2 linked regions of the Arabidopsis thaliana genome follow. The protein of the gene in region 1 interacts with the protein of each later gene in a biochemical or structural test. Each region holds a gene or a part of one and is shown on either strand. Other genes may lie near its edges.

The links. Proteins that work in one complex are often made in the same cells at the same time.
Region 2: of the proteins of MPK18 (region 1) and PHS1, one has a biochemical effect on the other in vitro, tested with the Arabidopsis thaliana proteins (one study listed by BioGRID).

The regions. Positions count from the first base shown.
Region 1 is NC_003070.9:19,969,789-19,976,100, forward strand, and holds MPK18 (mitogen-activated protein kinase 18), read right to left. Parts: upstream 4,606-6,312; 5' UTR 4,371-4,605; coding exon 4,347-4,370; intron 4,139-4,346; coding exon 3,730-4,138; intron 3,634-3,729; coding exon 3,506-3,633; intron 3,416-3,505; coding exon 3,356-3,415; intron 3,020-3,355; coding exon 2,870-3,019; intron 2,782-2,869; coding exon 2,626-2,781; intron 2,507-2,625; coding exon 2,295-2,506; intron 2,161-2,294; coding exon 2,059-2,160; intron 1,853-2,058; coding exon 1,677-1,852; intron 1,604-1,676; coding exon 1,173-1,603; 3' UTR 546-1,172; downstream 1-545. UniProt on the Arabidopsis thaliana protein: Mitogen-activated protein kinase (MAPK) that is specifically regulated by PHS1 and MAPKKK20 and mediates signaling that regulates cortical microtubule functions, maybe through regulation of microtubule dynamic instability.
Region 2 is NC_003076.8:7,996,469-8,003,367, reverse strand, and holds PHS1 (dual specificity protein phosphatase family protein), read right to left. Parts: upstream 5,172-6,899; 5' UTR 5,060-5,171; coding exon 5,018-5,059; exon of another isoform or gene 4,863-5,017; coding exon of another isoform or gene 4,848-4,862; coding exon 4,770-4,847; intron 4,680-4,769; coding exon 4,537-4,679; intron 4,402-4,536; coding exon 4,200-4,401; intron 4,128-4,199; coding exon 3,951-4,127; intron 3,847-3,950; coding exon 3,686-3,846; intron 3,204-3,685; coding exon 2,108-3,203; intron 1,963-2,107; coding exon 1,816-1,962; intron 1,699-1,815; coding exon 1,471-1,698; intron 1,372-1,470; coding exon 1,214-1,371; intron 1,132-1,213; coding exon 774-1,131; 3' UTR 520-773; downstream 1-519. Other genes in the region: AT5G23710 (DNA binding / DNA-directed RNA polymerase), read left to right, coding at 6,148-6,840. UniProt on the Arabidopsis thaliana protein: Probable dual specificity phosphatase that binds and dephosphorylates MPK18, modulating the organization and dynamics of cortical microtubules.

The DNA of each region.
Region 1 (6,312 bases):
AACATAAATGTGAGTCTATTTATTAGCTCTCTACTAAATTAGGACATTTCAGATCAATTAAAATAGAATGAAATTTTGATAATTAATTAAGTATGTGTATAAAGAAAGAAATAAATATATTGCATCGTTTTCCAAATTATAGTGATTGACGAATAAAATATGATTTTCCTTATTTTAGAAGGTTAATCGTGGTATTTAATTAAAACACCTGGTTTATTTATGATATAACGTAGACATGTCAGTTCAAATATTTAATTAGTTGATTACAAAGATAAGTACATGTCAACCTAAAATTTAATATCATCATTTCAACCCAAAAAAAACCTGAGATTATATATAACGGATCATTCAATGCAAGATGCTTAATGCCACCGTCACGTAACGAAATAATTGATTTGCTTCCTTTTTGGTTAATAAATATTAAATAGATCAAATGTGTACACTTTCTCATGACTTGTTAAATTGAGAAAGTGATATTCGTTATGATTAATGGACGCCTAATATTACCTTTAATGGGCTAAACTCAGGCCTACAAACTTGGCGGGTAAATTATAAACATTTCAACGGCGTCAAAATTTCGAAGTTAAGGCGAATTTCATTGTTAACCATGATGAGTCTTGAGGTCAAGAGCATTCCTTTTTTTCATTGGCAAGTTTTTTTTTTTCTTTTTGTAACCATTGAATAAAATTGACTAATTATATAATCTGAGAAAGAGTGGTTTACAGAAGAAAAATCTAAGGACCAATGTTTTATTTTGTTACTTCCACATTCTTCGGCATAATGTTGTCTATATTAACCAATCAAGACCATATTTTCCAATAACCAAAGAGATTCCTTTTTTTGTTGAAGAACAATAAAGACTAATGGGACCGATTAAGAAGTTTAAGAAGTATATAATCACCACGATATTCTTCTCTACGGTGAACTACGCTTATGGCAAATTCAAAGATTATGGAGCCAACAAGATAACCGAAACAATAACCGGGACTGACCCGCAATCAGACTAATCCAAGGCGATCTTGTTCTGGAGAGTTACAACTAAATAAAAGTCTTTCTTATATCATTGCAACGTAGTTCATATCAGAGCCTGGACTGAATAATACTTACATAAAAACTAGAGAATCACCTGGTGGAGGAAGATGTGGTGGTTAAAGATCTGTCTGAAGTGTTGTCTATGATGCTGCGCTGTAACTAATTGTGCCTATGTTCCGGTGTGCTGCTACTGCAACCGCTGCAGCTCCTGCTGGACCAAACTGTGATTGTGCCTGCAACAGCTTAGCATCAATGGCCATATGTGTGTTGTTGTTTAATTGATCTGTCTTCGGGAGCTGTGGTTGAAAGTAAGGGTTTGGGTGGTTCATAGTCTCAACGTCTGCTTGGTTAGTTGTAGCAGCTGGTGGCTCAGTGGGACTGAATTGGTGGACAGGATTTTGTGGCTTTGGTGGAAAAGACGAAGCTTCTATGTTGCGGTTCTCCGGGTTTGTCATGGTGTTTGGTCGGAAGTAGCAATGAGGAGATGAAACCGCGCTTCTGAAATAAGCTTCTTTGAGGTTCCTGCCATTCTCATAAGATACAGATGATTCCACAACACGACCTGGTCTACCTGTAAAACATAGGGTGAAAGTTAGTTGAAGTTTCTAACTTTAGGAAATAATATTTGGAGATATGATTGAGACCTGATGGTGGAACTCTTGGTGGAGGTCCGATGGATTTAGTAGGATACGCGGAAGTTGATGGATGTCCTGCAGAAGAAGCTCCATTTTTTGAAGGCTCGAAAGAAACACGTCTACTATCTGTTGCACCCAAGTTGGGTTGCGAGGTGGAATGGACTACAGTTGAGTGAACCGTAGACCTGTGGAAAACAATCATATCTATTAGAATTAGAAGAGTAGAGAACATATGAAAGTTTTTAGAATTAGAAGAGTAGAGAACATATGAAAGTTTGCTTGAGGCCTTCGACCATATGCTTCACAAATGCTAAGCAGTAGCAGAAGAAAGAACAAAAGAATAAGCATATTCCCTACAGTCGACTTGTATATAAAGAATGAGAAAACATACCGCGGTAGTGATGCGTGTTTCCTCTCGAGAGGTATGACCGGCCCATTTCTACTGCTATTTTCCTCTAAGTAAGTGAACTGCTGTCTAAGATGTCCAATGGCGCTGCAAGTGAAAAAGTAAAAACATGAATAAAAAGCCAGGCAGAGGTACGCGATTGGACATAAATTCAACGGGAGAAAGAAACAAGAAATGTTTCATTTGGTAAATAATAATAAAAGGTAGGAAGAAATTCAAACCTAGGATATACAAAATTAGACCCCTCAGATCCGCTCATATAGTCCTTGAGCAACTGAGGATGGTACTCCAGTATTTCTCTGTATATTAGTTCTCTAATGTCGTCCTTTGTCAACCTTCGCCTCTCAAATTCAAACTCCATTTTCGAGATTTGCTGACTTGAAGGTTCTCTTTCAATCTTAGAAAGACCCTTGAAGTAAGGATCAGCTAATGCCTATCGAAAAACAAAAAGATAGCAAAGTAAGCAGAGAGATACACACAAGACGCAAGGCAGCTTTACAAAGAGGACCGAAGAAGAATCTAATTACAAAGTGAAAAAGACAGAAAAGAGACCTCTGCAGGAGTCGGTCGATCCTTTGGATCGAAAGCCAACAGCCTCTGCAAAAGACGGAGTGCTAATGGATCTGCTTTGGAAAATTTTTGCGAGAAGGTGACAGGATTTTTCTTCCTCATTTCAGTCAAGTATTTTCTAGCTTTATCATTACGAACCTGCATCAGAGAAATAAATGTTTAGCTATACAGTTCAATATATATACGTACTCCAGAAATTAATGTGAAGAAGAAAAACGGATCATACTCCAGAAATTGTTTCTGATTTTGGTGTGCCAAGAAGATCAGTAATCAACTCCAACTGATGGACAACACTTTTTCCCGGAAACAATGGCTTCCCTGTTAGTACCTCTGCAAAGATGCAGCCAATGCTCCAAACGTCGATAGCTGGAGTGTACTGCAGAATAATTTTGACTGTAAATCAGATTATGATGAAAAAACAAAATCCATGAATATGAAGTTGCAGATGCAAAAGAAACCACTCAATGAACATAACCTGATACAAGGTTACCTGATTCATAGATTTTCAACTTCGGGGAGAGTTCAAGTCATCCCTGAACAAGAATTATTTTAATATCCCACTGGGGCACAACTCTATACTTATACAAGTAACATCAAATATCAGCTATTAACACTAATCTGCATATATTCTACACTAAAGAAGACTAATCTGTTCATAAGACCTAAGCATAGCCAATTAGAATGCATAGAAGAAATCCACAGTAACACCTACCTTCGAAAAGAATGATCCACAGAGCTCAGGTGCTCTATACCATCTTGTGGCAACATAGTCCTGCATTGCGATTAAATGAGTCAGAGAGAAAAATCAAACACACAAATTAACGGCTAACAAACAAAAGGTCTCCTCCTCGAGGCTACTAACCGTCCAAAAGACTGTCGTAGGAGTATCATTAAACGCTACTCTAGCCAATCCAAAGTCACAAACTTTCAACTTGCAATTTGCGTTTGCAAGTATATTCTTTGGCTTAAGATCACGGTGATAAACATTAGCTGCATGAACAAAAGGATAACAGTAAGTTACAACCAGAAAAAATACAAAACATGCTGCCAAGATTCACAGGTCTGAAACAATGAAACGAATCACACCTGTATGCATGAACTTTAAAGCACGAAGCATCTGATAAAGGAAAAACTGGTGGTGTTCACGAGTCAAATCATCATTAGCTTTAATAACTTGATGAAGATCTGATTCCATGAGCTCAAACACAACATAGATATCTTTAAACTCTCTCTTAGAAGGAGGCAGCATAATGCTTTTGATCTCCACAATATCAGGATGCCGTAAAAGCCGAAGAAGCTTCACTTCACGGAGAATACGAAGCGCATCAGAAATATGTTCAAAGACATCATTAATCTTCTTAATAGCAACTTTCTCTCCAGTATGTGTATCAATAGCTGCACACACAACTCCATAGCTTCCTTTACCAATAACTTCCAGAATCCTATATCTGTTTGCATCACCATACTCTGTGAAAAACTCCATCTCTTTCGTGCCCTAGTGAATCACAAAAGTAGACAAAACACAAACTTTATCCACACATCTTATTTATGCTCATGCAACAAAACCAAACCTAATTGCAATTGAAAAAGGAAAGATTTTATTTTTTTTGTCTTTAAATTTGTAAAAGGATAAGACTTTATCCTCTGTTTCCCACATTTAGAATCAAAGCATGATTGAGAGAGATAGAGAGCAAGAAGCGAACCTTCTTCACTTGATTTTGTTGCATCTTCTTCTTCAAAATTATCAAAAATCTGGATCGGCTTTTCGAAAAGTAAAAAAAAAAAAAAAACCTAGATTGCTAAGAATCCGAAAACTAGAAGAACTCAAAATCAAGCCCAGTCTGTGAAGAAGACGATACAGAGAAGAGCAAAACCTAGATCCAGCGATCGAAGAAGAAGAAGACGAGAGAGGATTTTAAAAATACCGAATTTGAGATATTTTTTCTAAATTTGAATAAAAATAATTTCTAATTCTAGCAATTTCTCGTGGTACTTATTGCGTACGGGTGTGACAAATCCCAGATAGTGGCAGTTTCGTAGTTTTAGACAACATTTGAGGGTAAAGTAAATATTGGTTTTCTCCCACTGTGGTCTGTGGACGACCTTTTTGGAAAATGACCCAATGGTTTAGACACCTGTTGCTGGACTTGGACCGTTTTATTTTTCTTAAATTCCGATTTTGACCCCTATCTTAATTTTGTTTTGATTCTAACCATTCTTTTTGATAAGTGGTCAATTTAACCCCCACGTGATAGTATTTCTCGTACCACTGAAAGGAATATTATTAACATTATCTCAATTTTGCTTATTATATTCCTTGATTTAAATTTTTAAGATTGAAAAATCTATATACAATTGACTAATTCATATGTAAATAAATATTGTTGAAGGATATTTGTCTTAGATTTTAATTTATTTTGGTAAAGACGATACACGATTAATATATTAGGATAAAATACCATCTTTGATGAACATTTATTCCATGTAAATCAACTAACCTTGAGAAAAAGACCTTCCAAGTGTCAAGTTGTTTGCTTGATACTATGGGATGATAAAAACAAAATCAAAAGAAAAAAAAAAACTGCCATCCTCATTGGTATATGACTTAGTATTTGATAGAAAATAAAATAAAATAAATAGATTAATAATTTTGCAATTCGTGTGAAACTAATATTCACATGTCAATTTACACAATTTGGCTTTTGTATTTATTGAAAAGACCAACATATTTAGTGTCTGGCTCATATTAAAAGTTTATCACAATAGGGGCAAATCCACAAAAAGGTGAAGATTATGATAATATTATAACTGATCTTGATTAAAACAAATCCAACATCTTATTATTCATTTGTATCTGAGGCATTCAAATCCAAAGTTGGTTCATTATCTAAAGTACAAAATATCATAATTTCAAATTATCATACTCCATATAATTTCACACTATACGACGATGTAGGTGGTGCATGTGTCAATTTATTGTCAATATTTTAAGGCGTTATAACTTATAACTAAAGTTGATCCTTTTTGCATATTTCATTGCTTTTCATTTTCTTCTACTTTCGGTTTTAAAATCATAATTTTACTCTCTTTTGACTAAGTGCGCATTTTAAAATAATTATCGGCCAAAGATAAATATAAATGATGGTTGACTGGTTCTATCTATTTAGACCAGGCTCTGCATAATATATATAACCAGCATATCTATTTTTAAAATAGTTTTAATGGTTTTTCAAAATGATATATATAATATTTTGAATTGCAAGTTTAATAATTCGAAGATATATATATATATATATATAATCATGAGTCAGAATTCAACAGAGTGGACACAATATTACCATTCATCACATGAATCATGCTTTTCGTGTATGTATGTTTTAGAGTTTTGACTGGAGGAGCCAAAATATCTCCACCAAGCAGATTTATTTTGTTTGTTTATTTATTTGAGTTACATCTTATTAAAATTCCATGAACCATATATAATGATAGAAGAAAAAAGGGATCACCCATAAATAATGATAATTTGTGCACAACTATATATTATTGTTTTCTTAACTTTTGGTTGCCAACAACTCTATATTATTAGTGCAAATATAATAATGTTGATGAATAAAAGACAATGCATCCTAATAATAAACCAAAATATAATGTGTAAATGTGGTCCAGTGA
Region 2 (6,899 bases), on another chromosome or scaffold:
TTGAAGGAGTTCATTACAAGTTCATTGGTGCTTCTGATGTGCAACTTTCCCATGAAAAAGAAGGCAGAGAATAAAGTGGAGATACAAAAGCAACTTAAAGGATGACTTAAAGGAGAGACTAGTCATTAACAAAGGAATGGATAAATTAATAAGTAGTTGGAAAAAAAGCTAACACCAAGTTGGTCCACAAAGACGATCCACCGTTATCAGATTTCCCACATAGATTTAACATCAAATTAGATTTGCATTTATGTTCCCCAATATTTCAATCAATTTTTACTTTGTCTGCTTTCCATAGCCATTCTTCATACATATACCACCTCATGATTCCTTCATCTTTCTCCGTCGTCTGGCACATCACGCACGTCTTGTACTCCATACAAGTCACAAATGAAAGTTAACAAGAGTTCACTTTCATCAATGTGCACGCCGGAAAGAATGTCAAATTTTTTTAGTTTATTATATCGAAAATGAAAGGGAACTTTTGTTTGATTACGCAATCAATTTTTTAGTTTTATGACATTTTTGGGCCAAATCTTACTTTCTTAACACAAAGCACAAGGGAAAAAGAGTTACAAATGTTACATTAGCTTATTATGACGTTTCCCAGTGACTTCTATTCAGCTTTTCGGCTTTTTATTTACTTGCGTATACAAGTACAAAGATCGTTACAGTAAAAAACAAAACAAAACAGATCAATGTTTTTGTTCAGAGATGTACGATTAGAGAGACTTTAACCGGGACAAACCATAGATAAAACCAAACCGGACTCTCTAACCAGGATGAGATTGGAAAGAATTGGAACTAGCACTTGAGCCACGGCCAGTGCTGAGTTTAAGAGCCTCCAAAGCCTTTTGAATCTCCATGTTCATTGCACTGTCAACACTTCCCGAAGACAGTTTCCTGTGAGATTTCTGGAGATGAAGCTTCAAAGAACTGCTGCTTAGACCTGCGTTCTTTCCACAAACCGGACACACTTTCATTGTCGGTTTCCTCTGTCTCCACTCCATTGATACTTTCCCGTGACATTTCTTGTCGAGGTTTATTAAGATCCGCGCAAATCCATCATTCGGTTGAGCTCGTCTATGAACTTTCCTCAGTTTGCTCCATGCTTCTAAAAGTGTGAGCTTCCTATTTATTGTTCCCACCAGTAAACAAATGAGAACAAGTATTGAAAATTTCCAACAAATTTTATTTGTCCCCAACAACTTACTTTTGGAGCATTAGGTAAGCAAGCACTACTGTTGCGCTTCTACTCCGACCTTCGAAGCAATGAACTAAAATCTTGCCACCAGTTTCTTCGCCATGCTTGATGAAATCGAGAGCTTCTTGAAAGATGCTCTCGATATTTGAGTCTTCATCATCGGTTATCTGGTCAAAGGGAAGACACAAGAAGAAAACGATCATCTTTATAGATGCATTTTTTTTTACCAATTCCTTTTAAGAGACATATAAGACAGGTTCACTTACTGAGAAGTTTTGGTACTCGAAGAGATCCGGGTATTGAGTATCCGATTGCCCGATTTCATTAGCGCACAAACATAGAACATGAGTTATACCTAAATGCTGAAGAGTGTAAATCGACCTTGCAGCCAATCCTCCCCCGATAAAAAGATTTTCTTGTATCATTGATGGTTTCTCTGTATTAGCAGCTTTGCTAATCAATGATATCCTCTCAAGAATATGCTCAAGTCTAACCTGTTATCAAGGAGAATGCAAACAAGAGAGACAATGTTTGAGTTCAGTTGCCAAAAACTATATTATATAATGAAGATCATATTCAGGATAAAAGGAAATAATAAAACTTCATGATACCTTTAGCTCATAAGCATCTGTGCAACTGTTATTATCACTGCCCTCAAAAAAACCAGTGTTGAAACCGTTCTCTTGGCAAAGTTTCATCACTTCATTCCGCAGTGTTTCATTCCACTGGTCTAGTTCTTTATTAGACTCAGCATCAACCTGGACGCACCATGAAAATATTGAGAGTGAAGAAAGAGAAAATGGCTGAGAACTTCCATCCAAGAAGACAAACTTTTTTTTTTATAAAAAATCTGAACCTACTTTACAAATTAGAACATAGTGATCAAAGCTCGAAGCGACAAACCTTTGCAAACTTATGGAAGTCACGGAGCTTTGCTGCCAAACGCTGACTGCTAAGAGATTCTCCACCTTTACCGGATCTTCCGTGCCAACTTTCACGTGACTTAGGCGAAGACCCGTCTTCTTTGTTTTCTGAATTTGGTGTCCTAGGAACTGATTTTTGCATATCTGACTCACTGTGATCAGAGCTGTTATCACTAGGCACCCGATCTTTTGAGGGAGATGGATAATGATTCACCTCATGCCCATGAGTATGTGAAGGTGACTCAGGAACAGCAAAGTCTTCTCTGTCAAAATCTGCACACATTGTTTTGTCCATCATACTAAAAAATGCCCGAAGCAACACATCTAATTTCTGATGAAGGGTGACAAGGAAGATGTGAAACTCTTGCAAATCCCTGAGACCAGCTCGGAAACCATTTCGAAACTCGCGTACAACTGGTGTTACTACAGATCGAACATTAGATGTTTCTTCACCATCTTCTGCCTGTGGATATCCTAAACTTCCTTCTGTTATTTCATGTAACAAATTCGAAGAATATTGGCTACTATTGAGGAGTAACTCAACTAATCTTGGATAAATTTCTTGGTCGCTTGCCCGTTTTCCAGCAGGAGGCCGCCGTGGAACACCCGAGTCTATGGCAACGAGGTGAAAATCGGCAGCTACTGATCTATCAGACATTGGACTCATTAAACCAGTATCATATGATCTAGGTGATTCCGTTATATCAGAAAAATCAGAAGCCTGTGAGACCAACATTTGATCACTGATACTCAACCTGGATCTGCTATCTACGGAAGAAGCTCTTCTTTCCCTTTGAATGGATCTATAGTCCTTTGGATGGTACCGTTTGATGGCGGAATCAAAAGCTTCATCAAATGAACATTCATGATGCTTTGCAGAAGACACAATTCTGTCTGTCAGTAACAGATTTGCCGGGTTGCCACGCCATCTCAGCTGACGACACGGTAATCTGTCTTCATTCCTAATTACTAGATCTAACACCAAGATTCTCCCTAGAGCTGCAGCAGCTCTCTCTGCTTTTTCTTCAGTTTCAAAACTACTCATGCTCTCCAGCATTGGACATCCATGAACATAACTGTAATCACATATAGAGAATCCTGGGCTAAGAAGAGGGGTTCTATACAAACATCACATTAAAAATTGTAAATTTGAAAGTGCCTACATGATCCTATTAGGTAAGACTAGATTTTACATAATCCTATTAGGTAAGACTAGATTTCTGTTCAGCTATTTCTCTCATATTTATTATCATTTAAAGCAAGATTAGATTTCTGTTTAACTGTTGTTATCAAATTTTATCCAATAAAATAATTCCACCTCATATTTGTAATTTAGATCTTTCTTATTTTATAATACAATTTTTATATCTAATAACATAACATCTTTTATTTTTCTTAAAATATATTATCAAATGGTATATTCATATTTCAAATGGTTTACTATCATCTAGTTAAACACTAATGCAAAGGAACAAAAAAACTGTCAACATTATGCTGCTGGTCCAAGTAAAAAATGGAGAAAAGTGATAAAGAATAAAGATGAATCTTGTGCTTTCACCTCATTAAGAGAAGACAACGGCTGAGCTCAAGGGCTTCCAGAAGTTCTGAACATGTCATTTCACCAACCTCGTCCCCCTCCGAAGTCGCTTTAGCTTGTGCTTTTTCAGTGGCTTCTTTGATCAGTGTCCACTCAGGATTACAGCTGTGAATTACTCTAGCCTGTCGCATGATGATTACTCATTACTTGAAAATTCTAGAAAGAAAGTGAAATGAGCAAAACCATTACTACATTTTTAAAAAACTACAAGAAAGAAAAGAAGCACCTGCGGAATCTGCACCCCTAGCCACTTGGAAAACTCATAACCTAGACGTTCTGATTGCGTGGCCATCCTCGATGATGCAAATTTAATAACTGCTGCTTCTTCCTTACGAGAGGCATCTTCAGAGCTGGAACTATTGAACAGGGCAAAGAAAACAACTCCTCCAGAATTCACAGTAACCTGTACAGACATCTAATAGTGTCAAAAGATCCTCCTAGCATCACCAGTCCAAGATCATAATGATATATATACCTCAAGTGGTTTACTCTGGTCTTCTTCAGAATGATCAGTGCTACTACTATGTTCAGTATGATGAAGTGAAGACAACATATTCCATGAAAAACAGCTCGAATCAATATCCACAGTAGAAGCTTTACCAAGCCTTTCCCACAAACTAATCTCTGAACTCTGCCTACTTGGTGGACTTTTAGGATCAGTATTCCTCTCTCCTGCACTGGATAATACTTGTATCAACTGACATGAAGACTAATATCCTAATTTAGAAACCTTTGTTCTGATATACTCATAAGATTCCAAAATCATAATCAACAAACCAAGTACTTGACAAAAAGTCAGAGAAAGTGTTAACCTAGTGACCATATCATCGATGCGGTGAAGGCGGTGAGGGAAGCCAGAGGATCCGTAAGTAGCACTTCGTTTACGAACTAAATCCAACCATTGAGTAAACCTATAAGCTGGACCAGATGCTATATCTCCTAACATGTACAAAACCTGCAAATTCCAAAAGTCTTCCAATTTTTAAGACGAGACTATTAATATAACCCTAAAACCTAAAACGAATTTAGGATCGGAGAAATTTACACGAGAAGTGACGGTGAGAGGAAGAGGAGACTCGTGCTCGTCGTGAACAAGGTATAGATCTTTCTCTTCGTCTTTTTCCTGCGATAGCACCATAATATCAGATCAGAGAAAAAGGGGAAAAAATCAAAATCAAAATCTGGCTCTGCGAAAAGAGGGAGAGATAAATGTGGGGGTAATGATGAACGCAAAAGGTGGGGGTGATAATGATAGATTATTAAATTTGTGGGGGAAAAATGAAGGATGATTACTTGAGAAAATGGTTGATCTCGCTTCTTCTCAGGTTCCGCCATTGCAAAAGCTTAGGTTCTGTTTAATTTTAGAAATGTCTTTTTCTTCAAATGTCAGCTTTGTATCTGAGAAGAGGAAAGTCTCAAGGTATCTTTAATTAATATGAACTTGTCGGACGAAGAAAGAAGACGGATATTTAATTTCATAAATTTATTATTGTAATAAAGACTCTGATCATTTTATTCTCATTATTCAAGATTTAAAAAAATAAACATATTATTATTTACAGAACTGTCTTCTAATTTTATTTTATTTCCGTTTTGTGTTATTATTTAAAACTATATTTTGTATGAAACTATTTCGGTCGAAATCAACAACATTTATACAAAAATGGTTTTAGATTTTAAAAAATATTCACTAAAGTTTATGGTTTAATCTGAAAAAGTTCAGTCTAATAAAATAAAATATTTATAGAATTTTTTTGTCAACTTATTTCTGAAAATTAATAAGCATAAATATTAGTAAAAAATCAAAAATATATACTTTCTTTGTTTTACAATATAAATTGTTTTGGACCAAATTTTTTGTTTTACAATATAAATTATTTTCAAAATTTTATGCAAATTATATATTATTTTAATACTTTATAATTATTTCTATTTTTAAAAAATAAATTGAATTTTTTAAAAATAAATATTTTTAATCTACATGTTTTTATCTAAACCAACTTGTATAGCGAAATCTCATATTGAATTAACAAAAATCCTGAACAATATGTACCAATCCACTTCGAGTTACCTTTTGTTGTGTATTAGTTTAGGCCCACACTAATATATTTGACTTTCTTCTCTGTCTTATATATTTAGCTAAAAGCAGACCTAGGGTTTTCGTATCCGTTCCAGTCACGGACGACTTCTCCGTTCTCTGAACTCTCCTAAAGCCTCTATATTCATCGGATTGTTCATCTCCAGTAAACCAATCTCCAGGTAAATTGAATCTGAATCTTCACCAAAATCCTTTGTAATCTCAGAATCATCGATTTTATCACCTTCTTATAGTATAGATCAATCCTTTTCGTAAATCACACGAATTCTCTCAATTACCGTGTCACAATTCCGATTGATTTTTGCAGTTTGGTGAATTTGTAAGAATGAGTAAACGAAAACGTCCGGATCCGAAATCATCGGGAGGTGATCTAAACGAGCCACACGAGAAGAAGCTTCTGGATCTGATTCGAATAAACCAAGGAAGAGGCGCAACTATGTTCGAATTGAAACGCGAGAAAACGATCCCAGCAACTATAGTTACTCGATTGATCGCTTCTCTACGGAAGAAGAATCTCATCAAAGAAGTAGCAAACATGAACAACAAAGGTGTCAAACATTATCTTGCAATGGAGTTTGAGCCTTGTAGTGAACTTACTGGTGGTGAATGGTACACTGATGGAGCTCTTGACCTGTCGAAAATCGAAGATTTGAAAGCCAAGTGTGTGATGATTTTGGAGAGGCATAGGCAGAGGGTTGTTACTTTGGAGGTTTTGTGTGGGTATTTTGTTAAAGAGGAGAAGCTGAGTGTTGATCAGACTAAGGAGATACTTAAGAACTTGATTTTGGATAATTTGATCATGGAGGTGAAGAGTAATGGAATGAATGAGTTTGCTTCTACGAGAATCGGAGAAGTTTGCTACAGGTTGACCGGGAAAAAGTTCGGTAATGGCGAACCGAGAGCTGGAGCTTTTGCTTCGATTCCTTGCGGGGTTTGTCCGCATATAGCGATCTGTTCACCTGATGGTGTTATCTCTCCCACTACATGTGTTTATTTTCAGAAATGGTTAGACTTTTAGCACTCTCTTTTTTTTTTTTTTTTTGGGTTTAAAACTTAAGATTTTAGATTATGATGATT